3 linked regions of the Tribolium castaneum genome follow. The protein of the gene in region 2 binds, or shares a complex with, the protein of the main gene of each other region. Links are inferred from orthologs where the notes say so. Each region holds a gene or a part of one and is shown on either strand. Other genes may lie near its edges. The genes, in order: dynein regulatory complex protein 8, Gas8 and dynein regulatory complex subunit 3.

Region 1 (3,017 bases), on a different chromosome or scaffold from region 2:
GTATAAACCCCAAGTAAACTACGCCAATGCACACGCTGTAGCGGACCATTTCATCGATAAATATGAACATCGCGAGAGCGCTACGACGAGTCGGCTGATCGGTTGTGGCCTCATGGCCACCCCCTAAAATTTCCTCACACTGGTAATTACTTACCGGCCTTTAAAAGTTATACCTACCGTATTTTCGAACAGAAGGAGTAACTATTTATCAGTAACAACACAGAAATATTTCTTTATTCTTTATTAATGTTCACTGAAACCACCTAATAAAAGGAAACTTGCCTTAATTAAATAACAAGAAGATAAATTAAGCTTATTTTTCAATGGCGCCCCCATTAGTGCTTGTTTCTTAATCCAGCTGCAAAAAATAATAAATTAATAACACATTACTTACAGGCCTTATGGAATCAGCTAATGCTTCAAAGTGAAGACTTCACAACAGCAACAGTAGCCCAAGCTACCAAACAGAAAGATACAGTTTTCGCAAAATTGTAAATTAAGCAAGAAGATTAAATAATAAACAAGGTGGAAGTTTGGAGTGTTTTATAATTTAAAATTCAGGAACGGACAAATCATGCAGGAACTCGGACAGCCTTCGAGGTGGAGGAGGAGGAGGTGGAGGTGGATTTTCCTCAAGAACACGATCAGCTAACTTATAGATATCTTTCTCTCCTTCAGGTTCGTGCTATTAAAAATAACGTAGTGCAATATTTGCAAAAATAAAAATTAGGTACCATTAGCTGATTGATGTAATATTCATAAGGCACAGTTTGAGTGTGTGGGTCTATGGCTATTTCCAGCATTTCGTCGAGTTCGTCTTGGGTAAAGGGCTCACCATCTTGCGTCATAAGCGTGGAAATGCGTTCCTTTGTTAAAAAACCTTTACCTTCATTATCTAGCACTTGGAACGCTTCTAAAAGTTGCGCGGGACTTGCAGGCTGATACCTGCGAATGAAAATTTCGTTTTTTGGCGATTAAATTTTGGTGATACTTGTGTTCAGTGATGATTTGCGACATGTGGGGTAAAAAATTAGACAAGTGTACACTTCCGGGAGATTCGGGGTTTTCAACAGCCATCAAAATTTCCTGAATTTCTGCCTCAGTGGGGCAACAACCCAAGGCACGTACGATCGTTGCCACTTCTCGAACATCGACTGTTTTGTTACCTGCGTGGTCGAAAACTTCAAACGCGTCGGCAATTCTGCGCTCCAAGTCATTATTAATAGGCACTAAAAAAACGTGTTGGTTTTTTGGAAAAAGACGAGTTTTTGACAAAAACCATGAATTTCTTCTTCTTCGTCTTCCAACATTTTAACAATTTTGATAATCGTTAAGGTTTAAACAGTTGACGGTCTCCTAGCGACAGTTTTGGTTGCTAGGTGATTTGAAGTGTTGGCAGTTGTACCACTTGCATATTTTTTTGGTAAAAATCACCAATAATAATAATTACTCTTAATTAAAAATAACATTAAAAAGTAAAAATGCCATATTTATGTTGCACAAATTACGAATGACAAAAAACAGTGTAAATAAAATAAATACACAAATATTATTCAAATTCTCTTTACCAGGTGATTATTCAAAAATTGCGATTCTTGTCAGGTTGGTGACAAATTTGAAATCTTAATATAACAAGCCACCATGAAGGCCAATAATTCAGTGTTACTAATAGGTTTTTTTGTCACAGTCTTTAATAGTCACTCTGTAGTAGATTCTACTTTGCAGTTTTTCAAGATTTTCCTTTAGTTTCGTTTAAATTTCTTCCAGATTATTCTTTAGCTTTCTGTACTCTTCTTTAGATTATTTTATAAATCCATCTTCTCTAGATTCTTCTTTCAAATCCAAAATTGTTTTATTAACACTTTTACATTTTTTTGACATTATCCAAATTTAAGATTCTTGTCTGCGTCGTTTAAAATTCTTCCAAATTATTTTTTAGTCTGTATTATTATTTTATTTATGTACTTTTTTTTACATTGTTCATAATATTCTTCTAAATTTTTTTGTAGAGGAGACTCTAGGTATCTGTAGATACGTCTTTAGAATTATTTTCTAGACTCTAATCAAAATTATTTTATACACTTTTTTTCAAATATTTTTATCCAAATTTTCTTCTAGATTCTACTCTGTATCTTTCCAAAATTCTTCTACAGTTTCGTATAGAATTTTTCTCTTGAAATAATCTTATTAGGTTATAATCTTCTTTAGGTTACATCTTTAGATTCGGTTATAAATTCTTCTGTAGTTTCCTTTACAATTTTTCCAAATAATTTTTATTAATTCTGTAGTCTTCTCTGGATTTTTTTTTCATATACTTTTCTAATTCTTTTCTTTTCTTTTTTTCCTAAATAAGCCTAATTCTAGATCTGAAATATAGATTCTTCTTTCGATTATTGTATAAATTCACGAATTTTTCACGTTTTTTAAGACAATTATTAGGTCTGCTTTGTTTGAAAATTCCTTTGTACTTTCGTTTCGAATTTTTCTAAATTATTTTTTGGCATTATTTGTTTGTCTACTCTTTTTTAGATTGTTTTTAAAATAAGTCTCAAATATTTTAAAAAATCGTTTCTAAACCTAAAATTGGAACTTTTTAAATTATTTTATAAATCCATCTCCATATACTTCTTTAGAAATTATTTTCTATACTACTCAAAATTATTTTATAAACTCTTTTAATTTTTTTTATCCAAAACCTCTCCTAGATTGCACTCTGCATCTTTTCAAAATTGTCCTACAGTTATGTATAGAATTTTTCTCTCGCAATATATTTTTATTCTTTAGCATTGTTTTTGTACTCTTCTCTAGATTTTTCTTGAGATCCTACTCGAGTTCTTTTTTGAAACCGTTTGTAGATCTGAAATCTGGATTCCTCTTTACATTATTTTAGTAAATCCATCTTTGGATGCGCTATTAAATTCCTCTGTAGTTCCCTTTATAATTTTTAAATTATTCTTTAGCATTGTTTCTGTTCTTTTCTCTGATTCTTTTCTAAATAACCCGTTTGCAGATCTGAT
Region 2 (4,411 bases):
TAAAGTAATGTCATTGTAATAGTTCTTCATTTCATTGAACACTTTCTCGTGATGTTTTGTCAAATCAGTAATTTGGTTATTTTTGCGCTCTTCCAGCTCCGACATTTCCATCCTACAACAAATATGGTAAATAATGTAAAAAACTTGCACATTTATTCCTTGATTACGTATGTTTGATGTTTAATTCTTGTTTCAGGTCAGCAAATTTTTTTTCGTATTTATTTTCCAGTTCTTTTTCTTTCAGTTCGAATTGGTTTCTGATGGTGCTTATCTCTTCACTATGTTGCTAAAAACAATTATTTTTTTATTGGTAATATTTTAAGCCTTTTTTTATATCTCAATCCTAGATTATAAACATTATTTTAAAGCACGCTTCCCATAGCAACGTGTTTTAAAAAATAAAATGTTCCAACAAAAAAAAATTGAATAACACTCATACGAAAACGCTTAAAGTTCTCGGGTGTCTAGGTATGCAACTCGCATATGCTCGTTGCATAATGACAGCCCTCTAACTTTAAGCTTGTGTTTTCGCACTCGTATTATTAATAACTATTTTTTGTTGGTAACATTTTAAGCCTTCTTTTTAATATCAGAATCATAAATCATAAACACTATTCTAAAACACGCTTCCCATAGCAACGTATTTTAAATTAAAATATTTCAACAAAAAAAAATTGAATAACACTCATACGAAAACGCTTAAACTTCTCGGGTGTCTAGGTATGAAACTCGCATACGCTCGTTGCATAAAGAGGGCTCTCAAACTTTAGGCTTGTGTTTTTGGACTCTTATCATTAATAACTATTTTTTTTTGGTACTATTTTAAGTCTTTTTTTTAATATCTGAATCCTAGATTATAAACATTATTTTAAAACACGTTTCCCATAGCAACGGGTTTTCGCTATTTTAAAACACGCTTTTTATAGCCACGTGTTTTAAATTAACATATTCTCAGGTGTCTAGGTATGTAACTTGCATACGCCCTCAAACTTTAAGCTTGTGTTTTACTCTTATTATTAATAACTATTTTTGTTAGTAACATTTTAAGCCTTCTTTTTAATATCTGAATCCTAAATTATAAACACTATTCTAAAACACGTTTCCCATAGCAACGTGTTTTCGTTATTTTAAAACACGCTTCCCATAGCAACGTATTTTAAATTAAAATATTTCAACAAAAAAAATTGAATAACACTCATACGAAAACGCTTAAACTTCTCGGGTGTCTCGCATGCGCTCGTTGCATAAAAACAGCCCTCAAACTTTAAGCTTGTGTTTTCGGACTCTTATTATTAATAACTATTTTTTTTATAACATTTTAAGCATTTTTTTAATATCTGAATCCTAGATTATGATCATTATTTTAAAACACGTTTCCCATAGCAACGTGTTTTCGTTATTTTAAAACACGCTTTTCATAGCAACGTGTTTTAAATTAAAATGTTCCAACAAAAATTTTTAAATAACACTCAAACGAAGACGCTTAAAGTTCTTGGGTGTTTAGGTATGCAACTCGCATATGCTCGTTTCATAACGACAGCCTTCGAACTTTGATCTTGTGTTTTTGCACTCGTATTATTAATAACTATTTTTTGTTGGTAACATTTTAAGCCTTCTTTTTGATATTAGAATCCTAAATCATAAACACTATTCTAAAACACGTTTCCCATAGCAACATGTTTTCGTTATTTTAAAACACGCTTCCAATAGCAACGTATTTTAAATTAAAATATTCCAACAAAAAAAAATTGAATAACACTCATACGAAAACGCTTAAACTTCTCGGGTGTCTAGGTATGAAACTCGCATACGCTCGTTGCATAAAGAGGGCTCTCAAACTTTAGGCTTGTGTTTTTGGACTCTTATCATTAATAACTATTTTTTTTTGGTACTATTTTAAGTCTTTTTTTTAATATCTGAATCCTAGATTATAAACATTATTTTAAAACACGTTTCCCATAGCAACGGGTTTTCGCTATTTTAAAACACACTTTTCATAGCAACGTGTTTTAAATTAAAATGTTCTAACAAAAAACAGGCATACGAAAACACTCGGGTATCGCATACGCTCGTTGCATAACGACAGCCGTATTATTAATAATAATAACTATTTAAATTCAAATAATCATAGGTACCAGTTTTAAAGCTTTGACTTGATCTTGATGGGCGACTTCTTGTTCCCGCATTTGCGCTTTCAAATCTCGCTTATCTCGCAACAATTCTCTTTCCTGTTCAGTGTGGTCATCTTGTGACATTTTCAGCGAAACAAGCGCTTCAGCTTTACATTCTGTTAAGTTGTTTTGGTGTTCGTATTGCAAATGTTTGACTTTTTGCTTGTAAAATTTCAGTTCTTCTTCGTTTTTCTCAGCCGCTTCCTCAATCTGTCGGTCTTTGTTTCTACAAATTTTTATTCTAGTGTTTGTTTTTACAAATTTTTAATTTTTGCACCTGAGTTTTGCTTTAGCTTCTTCAAGTTCATTTTTTGTGATTTCCCAAAACGTCCGTAATTTATCTCTTTCGAGTTGAAAGAAATTTCGTTCTTCTCTTTCTCGTTCGTTTTCCTCTTTTATTCGGTGGCAGAAGACCTCGAGCTGCTCTCGGGTCATTTGAGTTGTGTCCACTCCATCGATGATATTTCCCGAACCGCCTTTTCCTTTTCCACCTTTCTTTTTGGGAGGCTGGAAAATTTTAATTAGCGAAAATTCAAACAATTATTAAAATACTGAACCATTTTACGAAGTGAAAGTGAATGAACTAGCTAGCAGTTCTTCAAGAAACTATTTGTTTAGATGGTTACTACCCGCGTATCGATTTCTTTGGAATGGACTTATTTTAAGGGAGAATTCTGCCCAATGAGTCAATGACACTAAAAATATTCTGTCAGAAAATTTGGCATCTAAATGACTATTTAGAAAATGTGTCGGAGTGACAAAAAAACTTGTGAAGAATTAATCTTTTATTTGTTATTTCTTATTAAACCAGTAATTATTAAAATCGGATGCACAAAACTTTATTTTTATAACCTAGTATACTACAGTGTGAATTATGGAGGACTATTTATTAGTTTGGAGACGAAACGAGACAGAAAATCGCAGAAATTTCTGAACTTAAAAAAATAGTACAGCGGAGAAAAAATGAGGGCGCTTCAAGCGATTTTAAATTAATTTAAATCCAACCAACTCACTCATTACTTGGAAAAAATGCAGAAATGTTAAGCTCTGCACTCTTAACAAAAACTGACGACTAAAATTTTCATAACAAACATGAGAAAAAATTATTTAAGATTTAAAATTGGGAAAAAATTTCAAATGAATTAAATTTCCTGTAAAGAAGACCGCCAGACCATATTTCTAACGTCATCGGTTTATGCCTTGAAGACGCTGAACCAAGTGTAGGTATAAAGTTAATTATTACAGGGTGAGTCAATAGTGGGTTACTTCTAACATGTCCTAAAATGCAACCAAAAATACTAATTGCACGTACGACTTGGAATTTGATTTTTAAAACATTATTTAAATTAACACTGGTTTTTTATCATTTAAATAATAATAATCTATAACAAAATCTATAATGAACTGTCAAGACAAACTTGACACTATCCAGAACAATGTAATCTTGGATTAAATTAATTTTTTTAACAATTACCCATCTGGTCAGCAGGAATCGCTATTATTGGTTGCATATTTATAGAAATTTAGAAACAACCCACTTTTATCCACTATGTATACAGGATGTATCAAAAATTCGTGTGTTAATTTTAACACGTAATAAAACTCATCAAAGAGAACAACATTTCTATATAACATTTTGCAAAATTGTTATTTATAATTTTCTTCGTTTTCCTCCTTTCTTTTGTGCAAACGAGTCGGTCAGTGTTTAATAATTATTGCATTCATGGCAACCATTTGCATTGTTGTTTTAAATTGTTTAAATTGTCCGTTTCTATCACAACGAAAATAGTTCAGTTCACTTATTTTTGTACTTATAGATGAGTACACGTTTCAGTATGTTATCTTTTTTCAAATTTTGAGTAAATTTGCAAATTTTTTATTGAAAAATTACAAATAGAAAAGATGTTTTATTTGTTGAGCTCTATTACCTGTTAAAATTAAGACACGTATTTCTGATGCACCCTGTATAAACTGTAGAAGATAGAAATATGGTGTCAAGTACTTTTTTTACAAAAAATTCAGTTCCGTATTCCCAGTGTTTTGATAAATATGCGCCGGTGCGCAAAGAATTATTGCTTTGAATTATCAACTTGCGTTCCACCTTATATTTTTGAGAACGTAGTAAAAACGGTTAAAGATACCAAAAATGTGTAAGGAACAAAGTTATAGAGAATTAAATTTTCTACAAAAAAACTGCAACACCATATTTCTATTAATAATGGTTTATGTATAATTTAACA
Region 3 (4,452 bases), on a different chromosome or scaffold from region 2:
AAAAATGGCAATGGAGTTTTTTTCCTCCAAATATACAAAATTGTGAAAATCCACCTACAAACCGACTCATAACTGTAATACATGTAACACATGCCTCGCCCATACAGTTGCATGCTATTGCAACATTTTACGTACAAATTAACTTTACTATTAATTTTGTAGTACAATTTAATTTACCAAATGACTAGGTTCACATCCATTTTAATAATTAAATCTAATCACTTAAATAAATGTGGTGCACGCTGCAGTAATCACAATTAATTATAATAATTGTAAAGAAAAGTTTTGGAGAGGACGTTGTTTTTTGTTAGCCAAACATTTTAAAATTTTATCTGAAAAAAATATGTCTGGTTCATTACTTAAATATTTACCAATGTCTCACAACACATTGTTGAATGATTGTTTATGGACTTATTATTACTATGTTATTGGTCATTTTCGAAAATTCTTGTTGCTCTATTTTACACTTGAATTATTCATGTAAATAGGCGATAGAAAAGAATTTATATTGTTATTTTTATTCTAAGGTGATTAAGAACGCGCAAAAATAGTTCCAATTAATTAACTGATCTGAATTAGCATAAATACATATGTATATTTATTTTAAAGCAACGATGAAAAATATTTCAACTACGTTTTGCCCATAAAATTATCAAAGAATGTGGGTACTACAGCGGTATTATTCCTAACTGTTGTGACATACATAAGAGATTATTGTACCGATAACGCAAAGTATTTTTTTAATAATAGGTTTAAATAGACAAATTTCCATAGGACCCCGTGAAGAAAGCATAAAACGTCTCAGTTGATAGCCTATGTAGAGTAGTATAAGTCACACCTATTGGTAAATAATTATAAACAAATTTGGTACGAAATAAAAACCACGCTGTAGTTGTGACAAACAAAATGTAAATGCAAAAACCTACACCTACACAGACAGCGATGACGAAGTACCTTAGAATTATTACCAGAAACAGTAATTAAACAGTCTGATGAATAGATATAGGTGAATCAGCCAACAAAAGTGATAAACAATGTAATCTAAACAATAAAATACAGTGCCAGCACCGGTTTCTAGTTCTATTTACGTTTTATTAAATCGATTTTAACAACGGAAAAAAATTAAATGAAATCCGGCAATGCCAAGCGGGACTCACCAATTCGCGATCCTACGGGCGTCGAAAAGGGATTTCCTCCTAATGCAGTTCCAAAAAAAGACATTTTTTATTTCTAAATTAAATTTCACGATTGCACTTTCTTGTTGTCACTTGACTTCTGTCACTGTCACTTGTCAAAACAAGAAAACACTGCGGCGCTTGCGCAATACTTCCGCTCCTAAATCTAAAATTTTCCGACGAAAATAACAATTTTATTTCAAACAAATAAACTGCATGACGCGCTTGTTGGTGTGTTAGTCACTGTTTTTCTAATTTATTGATCTTTTCATTCCCAAGTTGTGTAAACTTCTGAATAAAAAGACGTCAGACATGTGTCACGTGATCAAAAATTATACGAGGTGCGGTTCACAATTTAAAGTTCTTTTTTTATGTTATTTTTCCGTTCTTTCACGTAATATACTACCAAAGCGAGCATTTCTGCATTTATAACTGTGCTGTTGTCATTTCTTCTTTGATACAGAATACAACGTAATTTTACAATTTTGAGTATTTTTTTATAAGTTGCGGTATCAGCACTCGGCTTCGCCTCGACTACAATTTCGCAAACTCTTAATTGTAAAGATTTTTTTACTCCAAAAACCCTCTCTGGGCTATTTTTATCTACTTAGACGTTATAATCTACCTGTAAAGAGTTTTTTGTAATTGATATAATTTCACAATGAAAAATAATAAAACTCAAGAGCACAAGCTCGGCAAACTCAAAGATTCATGATTTCTCAAGTCCATAGCAACAATAAGGTACTTAAACAACAGTCATTGTGACATCAATAATTTCAAGAATGCTTGAAAAGGTATTTGTATCGATTTAGTGTGCCTAATGAAAATTTGTAAAAATGAATCCTTGTAAATTGAAAGAGCCAAAAGTAATAGACAATGCCCTTCTGGAGAAATGTATCAAAGACCAGGGCCCCAAGGGTGAAGCGGGTCGCTTGGCGGAGATCGAAAAAATCCCCCTTGAAGACGTCACCGAGATTCGCTTAGAATTTCTGAGTAACAATTCTTGTAAAATTTAAACCCGACTTTCTGTGTCCCTATCCGTAGATATCTTAAGAATTGACCACTTGTGGGTGCTGACATCTTTAACGAAATTAAATCTCAACAATAATTTACTGGAAAAAATCGAAAATTTGGAAAGTCTGGTGAACTTAACTGAACTAAATTTATCATTCAATAAAATAGCTAAAATCGAAAATTTAGACGAGCTTCGCAACCTTGAAAAGCTGAGTCTGTATGATAACGAAATCACGGTTTTGGAGAACATGGACACTTTAACAAAATTAACAGTTTTTAGCATTGGAAGAAACAAAATTGACGACTTGGACAATGTATTACGAAAAATAATTGTGTTCTAGAATACACAAATATTTTATAGATTCTGTATTTGCGACGATTCGGCAATTTAAAATCGTTAAATCTAGTGGGGAATCCCTGTGCCGAGGATGAAGATTTTCGTTTATTTATTGCAGTTTTTCTGCCACAACTCGTTTACTACGAATATAAATTAATATACGAGTCGGAACGGGAACTTGGACACGAAACTTTCAGGTTTCTAGCTAAAATTGTTTAAGTGAACATCAGTAGGAGAGTTTTTTAGTGCAAAACTGCGAGCATTGTTGGAGAAAGAGGAGAAGGAACGGGAAATCACTGCGATAAAGGAACAAGAGTTGGCCGATGCCGAACTTCACGCCTCTAGTTTCGTGGAGTATTTAAACACTCGCCATTTGTTCGACTCTTTATTTGCCAACGACACCGACGGCATGAACTTGATGAAAATCGGCGAAGACGCGCAAGAATTCTACGACGAGTACGAGGAGAACTTCATCGAACTGTGTAAACAAATATTCGAAAATGGGCAACAACAGTACATCCTGCGCAAAACCGAACAGGACCAGTTCTTAAAATGCGTCGAAGACGCAAATAAGGACAATCAAGACGAAAGCATTGTACGCCCCCTTTCGAATTTACTTATAGCCCCAAATTTCGTCCGTAGAAACACATGGAGATCTTCCTGGAGAAGAAGGCAATACTGTTCCTCAAAATCAAAAACGTGCAAAACCAGCTGAACTCAAACGAAATAAATTACGACGAGTTTATCGACAAATGCGACGTCTTCGTGGTGGAGTACGACGAGATGTTGCACGAAGTTTGGAAAGCGCTAATGAAACTGGAACTGGAACTTTACGAACAAATGGAAGAAGTCAACCAAACTTTCGAACACAACATCACAGAACTCGTTAATAATTTCATTGAATCGTCGCAGGCTTTCTTTACGCAGATCAGAGAGCTGGAAGTGAGCTACGCTGAAAATATCGGCGATTTGGCCACAAAGTTTCAAACAAATGCCAATTTGAATGAGGAAATCGAAGTTCCCGCAGTTCTTAAACCGGTAACTTCCGGCACTTGCTTTATTAATAATTTCAATGAGATTACAGCTTATGGCAGATAAGGATCTTCTGCACAACGCGTTGGCAACAAGTCACGATATGCACATGCAGATTATCGATGCGAGAGAAGACACTCTCATTTCGAACGCCAAGGATTGGCTAAATGATTTAATCGACGATTTAAACACGTAAGTTATGCCTTTACTTTTCCCGAAAAATATCCACAACTTGTAGGAATGAGATCAAGCGAAACAGGGGGAAAGTGCTGGAAATTAACCACTTTCTTGAAATCCAAAGGCAGGAGTTTGAGGATTTGAATAAGGAATACGCGCCTGATCTCAAGGATGACGTTATAGCCTTGGAATAAGTAAGATAGTAAAATATACTTTATTTTTACAAAAGTACTTACACATATTCTTGGTTTGGATAATAAATTTTACACTTCATTATATAAAAGAATATCAACTTATAATATCCTTATTTCTGTTTCTGCTTCAATGATTGCAGATACATTTCCAACCCCTTTTGCACACTGTCCTGAGCTACGTAATTCGCCACATATTCGTAATCTTTTTGGAGATTGTTAGTGAGGTCCTGAAATAAAAACTCATTTTTACAAAATATATAATTGAGCCTTAAATACAAAAATGCCAAAAAAGTCTATAAAAAAATCATAATACTAATTGCATCACATAATATGTTGAGATAAAAATATGTTTCCTTGGTGAGTTTCCTTAATAAAACATTTCGTTATATTTCCTTGCATTTTTAATAATGATTTTACCTACCTAGTTTTTGAAACTTAAAAAAAATACGGATAAATGCCAACTGATTAATTTCTGCAGAAAGATAGTACCCTCAACTTCTAGTATAAACTTAATTCGAAAGTA

What was found.
Region 1: Gas8 (region 2) and dynein regulatory complex protein 8 share a complex: the UniProt entries of both Homo sapiens proteins name them as parts of the nexin-dynein regulatory complex. The link is inferred for Tribolium castaneum from reciprocal best matches to the Homo sapiens genes DRC4 and DRC8.
Region 3: Gas8 (region 2) and dynein regulatory complex subunit 3 share a complex: the UniProt entries of both Homo sapiens proteins name them as parts of the nexin-dynein regulatory complex. The link is inferred for Tribolium castaneum from reciprocal best matches to the Homo sapiens genes DRC4 and DRC3.

The regions. Positions count from the first base shown.
Region 1 is NC_087394.1:7,332,860-7,335,876, reverse strand, and holds dynein regulatory complex protein 8, read right to left. Parts: upstream 1,446-3,017; 5' UTR 1,311-1,445; coding exon 1,280-1,310; intron 1,230-1,279; coding exon 992-1,229; intron 946-991; coding exon 735-945; intron 686-734; coding exon 551-685; 3' UTR 529-550; downstream 1-528. Other genes in the region: delta(3,5)-Delta(2,4)-dienoyl-CoA isomerase, mitochondrial, read left to right, coding at 397-495. UniProt on the Homo sapiens protein: Component of the nexin-dynein regulatory complex (N-DRC), a key regulator of ciliary/flagellar motility which maintains the alignment and integrity of the distal axoneme and regulates microtubule sliding in motile axonemes.
Region 2 is NC_087400.1:9,427,129-9,431,539, reverse strand, and holds the start of Gas8 (dynein regulatory complex subunit 4), read right to left. Parts: upstream 2,919-4,411; 5' UTR 2,732-2,918; coding exon 2,729-2,731; intron 2,679-2,728; coding exon 2,449-2,678; intron 2,398-2,448; coding exon 2,136-2,397; intron 287-2,135; coding exon 168-286; intron 113-167; coding exon 1-112. UniProt on the Homo sapiens protein: Component of the nexin-dynein regulatory complex (N-DRC), a key regulator of ciliary/flagellar motility which maintains the alignment and integrity of the distal axoneme and regulates microtubule sliding in motile axonemes.
Region 3 is NC_087394.1:30,246,339-30,250,790, forward strand, and holds dynein regulatory complex subunit 3, read left to right. Parts: upstream 1-1,636; 5' UTR 1,637-2,011; coding exon 2,012-2,168; intron 2,169-2,219; coding exon 2,220-2,503; intron 2,504-2,550; coding exon 2,551-2,723; intron 2,724-2,772; coding exon 2,773-3,121; intron 3,122-3,168; coding exon 3,169-3,564; exon of another isoform or gene 3,565-3,610; coding exon 3,611-3,750; exon of another isoform or gene 3,751-3,796; coding exon 3,797-3,929; 3' UTR 3,930-4,021; downstream 4,022-4,452. Other genes in the region: TOM1-like protein 2, read right to left, coding at 1,158-1,221; enoyl-CoA delta isomerase 1, mitochondrial, read right to left, coding at 4,040-4,156. UniProt on the Homo sapiens protein: Component of the nexin-dynein regulatory complex (N-DRC) a key regulator of ciliary/flagellar motility which maintains the alignment and integrity of the distal axoneme and regulates microtubule sliding in motile axonemes.